2 linked regions of the Ovis aries genome follow. Each later gene encodes a partner of the first gene's protein in a complex. Links are inferred from orthologs where the notes say so. Each region holds a gene or a part of one and is shown in the gene's direction. Other genes may lie near its edges. The genes, in order: S1PR1 and CD69.

Evidence for each region.
Region 2: the proteins of S1PR1 (region 1) and CD69 are in contact, whole or in part, in a cryo-EM structure (PDB 8G94), measured with the Homo sapiens proteins. The link is inferred for Ovis aries from reciprocal best matches to the Homo sapiens genes S1PR1 and CD69. Residues at the interface, in NP_001307659.1 of Homo sapiens: Asn157, Leu160, Phe161, Ile164, Ser165, Trp168, Val169, Leu172, Ile173, Gly176, Ile179, Met180, Gly181; in NP_001772.1 of Homo sapiens: Val41, Ala44, Val45, Val48, Val49, Thr52, Ile53, Ile56, Ile59, Ala60, Val63.

Annotation. Positions count from the first base shown.
Region 1 is NC_056054.1:78,585,618-78,590,027, forward strand, and holds the start of S1PR1 (sphingosine 1-phosphate receptor 1), read left to right. Parts: upstream 1-1,560; 5' UTR 1,561-1,876; exon of another isoform or gene 1,877-3,314; intron 3,315-3,547; 5' UTR 3,548-3,709; coding exon 3,710-4,410.
Region 2 is NC_056056.1:205,852,562-205,857,047, forward strand, and holds the start of CD69 (early activation antigen CD69), read left to right. Parts: upstream 1-1,399; 5' UTR 1,400-1,486; coding exon 1,487-1,550; intron 1,551-4,265; coding exon 4,266-4,388; intron 4,389-4,486. UniProt on the Homo sapiens protein: Transmembrane protein expressed mainly on T-cells resident in mucosa that plays an essential role in immune cell homeostasis.

The DNA of each region.
Region 1 (4,410 bases):
TCACAGAGCAGTAGTGTTAAATTAGATAATCTACCACGTGCCTGATACTGGGTGTACTATTTAGTTCTTTTCCCTTTAAAGAACTCATAAATTAGTGGATGGGGTGAAGTTTGCCAAGTCCACATATTATGTTGTGCTGAGCAGACACAATATATCATCCCTTTAAGAGAAATACATCCTCAAGCCCAATCAGAGTTTATTCTAGAGGACCTTTATCTTGGTTTCTATGTCTTACGAATTTACTGTTGTTGAATTTGAGGGTGTGTGCTGGGCTCAAGGCTGTTGATGAGAGCTTTTGGGGAAACTGTATTCTAACTGTCATTTGATTTTTTTTTTTTTTTTTCCTTTGCAAAGTCATAAGATCCCAGAAGCCAGGAGTTGTTGTTTATTCATTCAGCCTCCTTCTGAGTCATTCAGGTACAGGGTGTGCCTGTACTGTGTTAATTGAAACTTCACAACGGAGAAGTTTTGCGTTGACATCTGCCTGGATGGGAAGCCAGTGAGACCAGAGATCGGGTGGAAACCGTCTTGCAAAGCCTCAAGCAGAAGGGCAGGGCAGAAGGGCCCTCAGTTTACCACTTAGGCGGAGCTGACCAAGGCCGACTCTCAGTCTCACATTCTGAAGCAGCATGCAAGCGAAAGGAAACAGTGGGCGAGTTGTGAGCACTGAGGCTGGGCCTCCGAAGTAGAAAGACGTAGAAAGACAGACAAGGGCTCCGGCCCCAGGCTGCCGGTCCTAGGCTGGTCCGTGCCGGGCAGCCCTTTCTCTTTGGAAACTCCTGAGCTGCCCAAGCTATTTAAACTCGCGGGCCCCGGCAGCTGCCCACCTCCTCACAGACCTCACCACTGGCTAGAATCTGGGACACAAGGCCTGATTTTGCGCCCAGTTGAGTGAGGGGAACCCCCGCACAACACCTCGCCCCCAGCTGGCCCATTTCACTGTGCGCCCCGCGAAAGCCACTTTCTGCCCCCTCAGACCGCAAGTTTCGAGGCAGCAGAAGGATGAGGGTGAGGGAGGGAGGTGAGCTGAAGCGGTGGAACCTCCCAGGCCATTCTTCTACCCGGGCAGCATTTCTCCTCCATCCTTCTGGCAGCCCCTTCCCAGCACCCCGTCCCCAGGAACACGACCGGGACTCGCGGGGTCGCGGAGCTGGTTTCCCCCTGCCTCCGCAGAAGCGCCTGGGGTCGTGGTGGGGTGGCGGCCCGGAGCGCCCGGCCACAATCTTCGGACTCCGATCCCCCACGGGCTGCGGGGTTAAGGGGACCAGAAAGGCGCACTAGATTGCCCAGGCCGTCCTCTGTCTCCCAAGACTCTTCTTGAGAAAAGTTTCCAAAAGCGCTTCCCCTCCTTTCTTTTCTAAGGCTGGGGAGAGCTGTCTCCACCGCCAGGGAGCGGCGGATAGCAGGGCGAGGACCGTGATTTATACATTGAGTCCAGGGGGCACCAGGCTCCGCCCCCTTTCTTTCTTTCTTTTTTTTTTCCCCCTTCTTTTTTTGGTTCCCTTGGGGAGGAGGGGCTCTTTTTTGTCTGTGTGTTTCTGCTGCAGATCTTTCCTGGACAGTGAGTCTCAGCTGCACAGATCCGGCGGCCCCCAGGCGCGAGCGGAGGGGCACGGGGGTTTGAGGCACTCACTCCTCCTCATCCCTTCCTAGAGAAGCCGCTCAGCCTCAGCGGGGCGCTCGGCGACTTCAGCTGACCGGTCTGCCCGGCCACGGCAAGAGCGTTGGCCATTGGAGTGTGCGGCTGCGGAGGGAGGGGACCCCGACTCGAGTAAATTGAGAGCTCGACGCCGTCAGTCCCGGGCAGCAGCAAGATGCCGAGCGCTCAGTGCAGACCCGGAGCTCCGCGAACGCAGCTGCGTCCCGCCTGAGCCAGGTAGGGAGTGAGCGCTGGGCAGGCGCGGACCCGGGCGAGCAGGGGAGCATCGCGACCGGAGGTCTTCCGAGGCAGAAACAAAATTTTCAAACCGGAGAGAAGCAAAGCAACACTTTTAAACCATCCATCTCTGGGTGCTGAGAACAAGCATCTCTGGGCTACTCAGGCGCCCAACCGGATCGGATTGTTCTGGGCTCACTAAAAAGTTTGGAAAAGGGTTAAGTCCTCTTTGTAGAACCCTCTGGGGTTGGGGGATAGAGGAAGTTGCGGTGGGTCTGCGGAGTGGGAGGGAAGGCGCTTATTTTGGAAAATCCTATAGACAAAGACTGCGGGAGATGAGGTAAGGGCTTAAACTTGCCCTGCGAGCGAGCGAGTGTGGAATTAGGTGGGGGGAAACGCGGAGCTACTGGGCGCCGAGCAGCCTCTGCTGTCCCGGGAATTGCTGTAGTCTGGAGAATTCCACTTTTATCGCATTTGCTACCCTGAGTGTTACCCTGAAACATTTAAACAACTTACGGGTAGACTTCTGCCCACACGTGCCGTGTTTCATCCCCTCCACACTTCGTAGTTCTCTGAGACGAGGCAACGTATTGAGGGAGGGCAGTAAATAAAACTGGCTTAGCAAGGAACCTCCAGACTTCTGTTTGTATGAGTTTCTGGAGAGTAATTTTGCATTCGAAATTTGAAATGCAGTGGCGTGTATTTTTAGCGTTTGTAATTTAATTTCTCTTTTTTGTATGCGTGTTTGGGCTATATCCACAGTAACTAAAAAATACTTTTGCAATCAATGGGTGTACGAAACTTCTGGGATTTATTGCAATAGCTTATGAATGATTTTTACTGAGTACTTTTATAGTTTCTTGCACTGACTTGCGCGGAAAAAAAAAAAAAAAAGAAGAAGAAGAAGAATGAAAAGGCAGTTGCTTCACGGAGGCGCTAAAGCTTTCCTGTTTACCGCAAGGCCAGGGCGGGCTTGGCTGCCCACACTGTGCTGCGCCTTCGGACCCTAAGCACACCTGCTCCTAGAGATTATTAATAGAGCCTAAAAAGTGACTTACGCTGTCAAATGATTTTCGCGCAAATCTAACTTCTTGCATGGCAATTAGGAGGTGGTTTTAGCTGGGTAGTGCCGAGCACAGAGGTGTGCGTCTCACATTGGTGGTTTGGTCTCTTCGAAGGTGTGACTAGGAGCTAGTGGTGAGCCCGCCGCGAAGCTGGTGAAGGCTTTAGTTTTTCAACTGGAGCTGGAAATCTGGTGGAGGTGGGGACAGCGTTGGGAGAGGCGGAGGGGTGTGTGTGTGTGTGTGTGTGTGTGTGTTGAGGACGTAGGAGTGGAATTAAATGGGGCTCACACCTCCAGTTTTCCCATTTCCATTTGGGTATATGTAACCATAGGGGACGTTTTCGTCTTGTCGTCGAGTCGGAGTTTTCATCTTGGGTAATTTTTCTTTTTTCCCTTTCTTTCTCTCTCTCACCCTTCTTCCTTTTTCCCCCCAAGAAATGAGAGTTTGATGTTTTTTTTTTTTTTTTAAATCCTTCCCCCCTGCGCTCTCCCCAAGTTTCCTTAAAACAAATCAACAAGAAAATTGGAGCAATGCCTTCGCTAGAATGAATTATGCCAATGTGCTGTGGCTTTTTCCCTGACTCTCTGCTCTTTGTGATTTGTTTAAGGCTGTGGTTTCCGAGGCCCTCTCCAGCTTAAGAAAACCTTCACAAAAAAAGCCTGGATCTCTCTCCTTGAACCACCCCGGCTGCCTGTGAAGGCTCGCTCCGCTTCGCCCTCTAGCGTTCATCTGCAGAAGCGCCGCCCCGGGTGTCGGGACCGTGCGCATCATGGGGTCCACCCGCATCCCCCTGGTCAAGGCCCTGCACAGCCCTGTCTCCGACTATGTCAACTACGACATCATTGTCCGGCATTATAACTACACGGGAAAGCTGAAGATCAGCGCGGACAAGGACAATGGCATTAAACTGATCTCAGTGGTGTTCATTCTTATCTGCTGCTTTATCATCCTAGAGAACATCTTTGTTTTGCTGACCATCTGGAAAACCAAGAAGTTCCACCGACCCATGTACTATTTTATCGGCAACCTGGCCCTCTCAGACCTGTTGGCGGGAGTGGCCTACACAGCCAACCTGCTCTTGTCTGGGGCCACCACCTACAAGCTAACCCCCGCCCAGTGGTTTCTGCGGGAAGGGAGTATGTTTGTGGCCCTCTCGGCCTCCGTGTTCAGCCTCCTGGCCATCGCCATTGAGCGCTACATCACTATGCTGAAGATGAAGCTCCACAATGGGAGCAACCGGTTCCGCTCCTTCCTGCTCATCAGTGCCTGCTGGGTCATCTCCCTCGTCCTGGGGGGCCTGCCCATCATGGGCTGGAACTGCATCAGCACGCTGCCCAGCTGCTCCACCGTGCTGCCGCTCTACCACAAGCACTATATCCTCTTTTGCACCACGGTCTTCACTCTGCTCCTGCTCGCCATTGTCGTCCTGTACTGCAGGATCTACTCCCTGGTCAGGACTCGCAGCCGCCG
Region 2 (4,486 bases), on another chromosome or scaffold:
GTGGTGTACTTGATAAGTGTCCGACTCTTGCAACCCCATGGACTGTAGCCTGCCAGGCTCCTCTGTCCATGGAATTCTCCAGGCAAGAATACTGGAGTAGTTTGTCATTTCCTCTTCCAGGGGATCTTCCCAAACCACGAACTGAACCTGGGTCTCCTGCATTGCAGACAGGTTCTTTGCCAACTGAGCTACAAAAGAAGCCCAAGCCTACAGTAGATGTCAATTTCCCACCCACTTGACCATAGCATTTTCACAAAGGCTTTATTCTGAAAACAGAATATCTTTATTCAAGTCACATTAATGACAAAATTTGAGGATACTAAAATTATTAAGTAGAGCAGTATTTTGATCCTCTCCTTAAATCACCAGATATAGACATTCTGCATTTATTTTGCATTGAGCTTAATAACTTACCTGGATGACATTGATACTATGGTAATATATTTTTATAGTTATTATACTCTAATCTAGCAAATGGAAGAAAAATAGGATAAAAAGATTTTACTAAGGGGAAATAAGGCAGTCCAAATGACAGTCATGCTGCTGCTGCTGCTGCTGCTGCTAAGTTGCATCAGTCGTGTCCGAGTCTGTGCGACTCCATAAACGGCAGCCCACCAGGCTCCCCCATCCCTGGGATTCCCCAGGCAAGAACACTGGAGTGGGTAATGACAGTAATATATAACATGAAAATTGAGGAGATAAATGAAATTGATCGTTTAAGATAAACAATTTTAGAACATAGAAAGGAAGTTCCAGCCACAAAGTTTCTATTTCCTGCATTAAAGCAACTACTTACTAGATAACTTACTAACTAGATGACTTAAGAAATTAGTTCCCAGGGAAGAAGTGAACGGCACATTTCTAAAAGCCAGTTTATAGTGCACTAAGTAAAACACTTCCAGACTGGAGAAAGATCCATGAGGATAGATGTCTTAAATCTTTTAGCCAACAATAAATCTTCTAACCCCAAATGGTGTTGGGTTCATAGCAGATGTTCAATGAATATTAGTTGTTAAACTTATGATTTAATGAATGAATGGGATTCCAGGGAAAAATGACTCTTCAAATTATTTCCATCTCAAATATAGGAATCTCTAACTTTTAATTCTTTACTTGGATATTCTATTTCCTAAACTATTTGTTTTCTACAAATTTAAAAAGGATATCTCAGATTCTGGGAAATTCCTGCTTGCCTCTTCATACTGCACCTACCTTTGTGAGAAAGCACATTTCAGATGGCAGGGGAAACCCATAGCTTACCACAACAACACATTGTAAACTGTCTGGGCCTCTGGAGCATAAATTAAAGAGAACAGGAGTATCTGAGCGACTAGGAGGTGAGAGGAAGGGGGTGGAGACAACATAGCTGAATATAAACGTTGAGGTATCTCAAAGACACAGAGACAGAACAAGAGCTCCAGCAGAGAATTTCACTGTAGGTTGGCTCCACCTGGGATTAACCAGGGTGATTGTGACAAGGATAAAGATGAATTCTGAAGATTTTTCTGCAACAGAGACCAGCTCCTTGCACCTGAAAAGAGAACCACAAAGTAGGTCAATTCTTTTTCTCTAAATACTGGTAATATCTATTTCTATGTTTATATCTATCTATCTATGATATATACCAGGAGTTAGGGAGAAAATCAAGCTTGCCTTTTGTGGAAAAACTTGTCTATGTTCCATTTGAGCAGGACACAAGAGAAAGTGGGAAGAAGTAAATATTTCTTTATCTATGTGAACACAGAATACCTGAGACATGAAAGGAAATCACAAAGGTGAATTTTAGAAACTCCTTAAAGATCTGTCTCTTTGTTTTATTTTATACCATCTCAGTTTTTCAGATTTAATTAGAAAATCCCCTCCCTAGCCCAGTGAACAATTTTTTATAACCATCTGGATATCCCCTAGGAAGCACTGCCTCTCTTTATGAAAAATTCTATTTTTCTTTTTAAATTTTTAAATTTAAATTTATTTATTATGTGAGAGAATTCTATTTTTCATATAAATAATGATGTTCTTGACTGGCTGAACCTTGTACCATTGTGTGCTTTTCGTGGGCTTTATCTTGTGTTTTCAAGAAAACATCCTCCAGTTGCTGGGAACACAGGTTTCCAGACTTTGAGAGAATAGCCATATAAGCATCTGAATATTTATAGTGTCCAAAGGCAATTTATTTTGAGAACTTCATAAAGAATTCTTGAAAACACAATCGTCTTCTCTAGTCCTATGGGTGCTCTTTCCCTCCATTTCACTTTTCTATTTGTTGTTGTTGCTGTTCAGACACTAAGTTGTGTCTAACTCTTTGTGAACCCATGGACTGCAGCATGTGAGGCTCCCCTGTCCTCCACTGTTTCCCAGAATTTGCGTATATTCATGTCTCTTGAGTCAGCGATGCTATCTAACCATCTCATTCTTTGCTGCCCCCTTCTCTTCCTGCCTTCAATCTTTACCAGCATCACAGTCTTTTCCAATGAGTGGGCCTTTTGCATCAGGTGGCCAAAGTATTGGAGCTTCAGCATCAGTCTTTCCAGTGAATATTCAGAGTTGATTTCCTTTAGGATTGACTGGTTCAATCTTGCACTCCATGGGGCTCTCAAGAGTCCCCCAGCACCACAATTTGCAAGCATCACTTCCTTGGCACTCACTTTTCTATTTCATCTAATTGTGGACTTCGAATTCTATATGAATCAGACATTTTTCTTCCTTTCTTTTATTTTTCATCAAAATATGATTACCTTTGCTATATCACTTTTTTCCGTTTCTGTTTGTCTAATCTATCCATAGACCTTTTCATCTCTTGTCACCAGGATTTTCCCATTGTTTTCCAATAACTTTCTTGGTGGAACTTTCTTGACTTATTTCATTTCTCTCTCTCTTCCTCTCATGTTAATGAGGTGCCCCAAACACTAGAAGGTAGGAACTAGAGTTTACTTGTAAACCCAATTATCCAGTAACAAAGAATGTGTTCTGAACAACAGAGGTGAAAATATCTAGAGGAGGGGGTTGTTTACCGAATATGTGTCTACTAGTGTGGTTTGCTTTAGAAAAGCATTCATTGCCTCAGGTAAAACTGTCTTTCACTTAGGAACACAAAATCAAGTGTAGATATTGCAAACCACACAAAATTTTTGGTGACCAGATACCCATAACTTGATGACTCAGCTGAGTTTCCTGAAAGAAAAAAGTATATTAAAAAAGAAAAAAAAGAACAAGGAAACCATTCAATAATAGCATAGTTTAAATAAGAAGGAATTAATTGTAGGAATTCTAAACTTGTCCTGAAATCATCCCAATCTTCTATTGAATATTTGATTTATGAATATTTAGTCTATGCTGCTCTTGTAGCTTTATCAGTGTAAACAATCTTTGAGCACCACCCTTGGGGGATTCAATATGTACTAGAGGATTTGTTTTAAAATTTCTCCATTAATGGACAGGGCTTGTAACCAAACCGGAAGTATACTCTTAGGGGAGTGGTTTGTTGCCTAGGTGATAAAACAAACTGTGAATAACAATAGCCCTAACTAATGAACTAATGATATAACTTAAAATCAGAGAATCACCTCCACAGCTTACCCACTGGATGTCCAAGCCAACAGTGTGAGTCCACTGGATAAGCCAATGGACTCTGACATCCGTGAGCTACTTGGATGTGTTGATACCTGCTGAGGAGCCAGAGATGTTTCTGCATTGAGTTTGAGCCCCTTCATTGAGTCTCACATGGTGAGAAGTGAAACTAGACAGAGAGCTCTGAACTTGCTACCCTAAATACCAAGCGCTGCTTCTGGTAATAGTTGTATGCTGATGAGAAAATAAAGATATGCTTTAACAAGTTGAGAGAAATAGAACCGGATAGGAGTGAAGTAAAGTCTTCTCTTTGAAAATTTGAAAGCAGGCCTATGCTGGGAAAAACAACGTTCAGAAGAGGCAAATGTTGTCTTAACATCCATTGCATAGTAAATTGCTTTGAAGGAAAGCAGCATCTCTGTCTAGTTAAACCTTAAAGAATACAATTATAATATATGTTGAATTTTCATAGCTACTGAGTACATATTTTGGGAAATATTTTATAATCTCATTATTGTGACTGGATTGTTTCATTTCTAGCCAAAAATAACTTATTCAAAATTTGAGGAAACGTAACTTGTACATTTTATATAAGAAAGTAGGGAGACATATAATATTTTTTTTAATGCCTCAAGAGAAAATCAAATGTCTCTTTCTTACTTCTATAGCCTGCCTAATCATCCACTTTCTCTCTTCAGGTCATGCCACTGGGACTTACTCTGCAACATATCATGAAGGATCAATTCAAGTTCCTATCCCATGTGCTGTAGTAAACGTGGTCTTCATTACCACTCTCATCATAGCTCTCGTTGCTCTTTCAGGTGAGTCTGCGCTTCATGAGTTCATCAAAAATTCTGATTAATCTTAGATCATCTCATTTTTCATACATGGTCAATTTCCTAGGAAATATAAAATATGG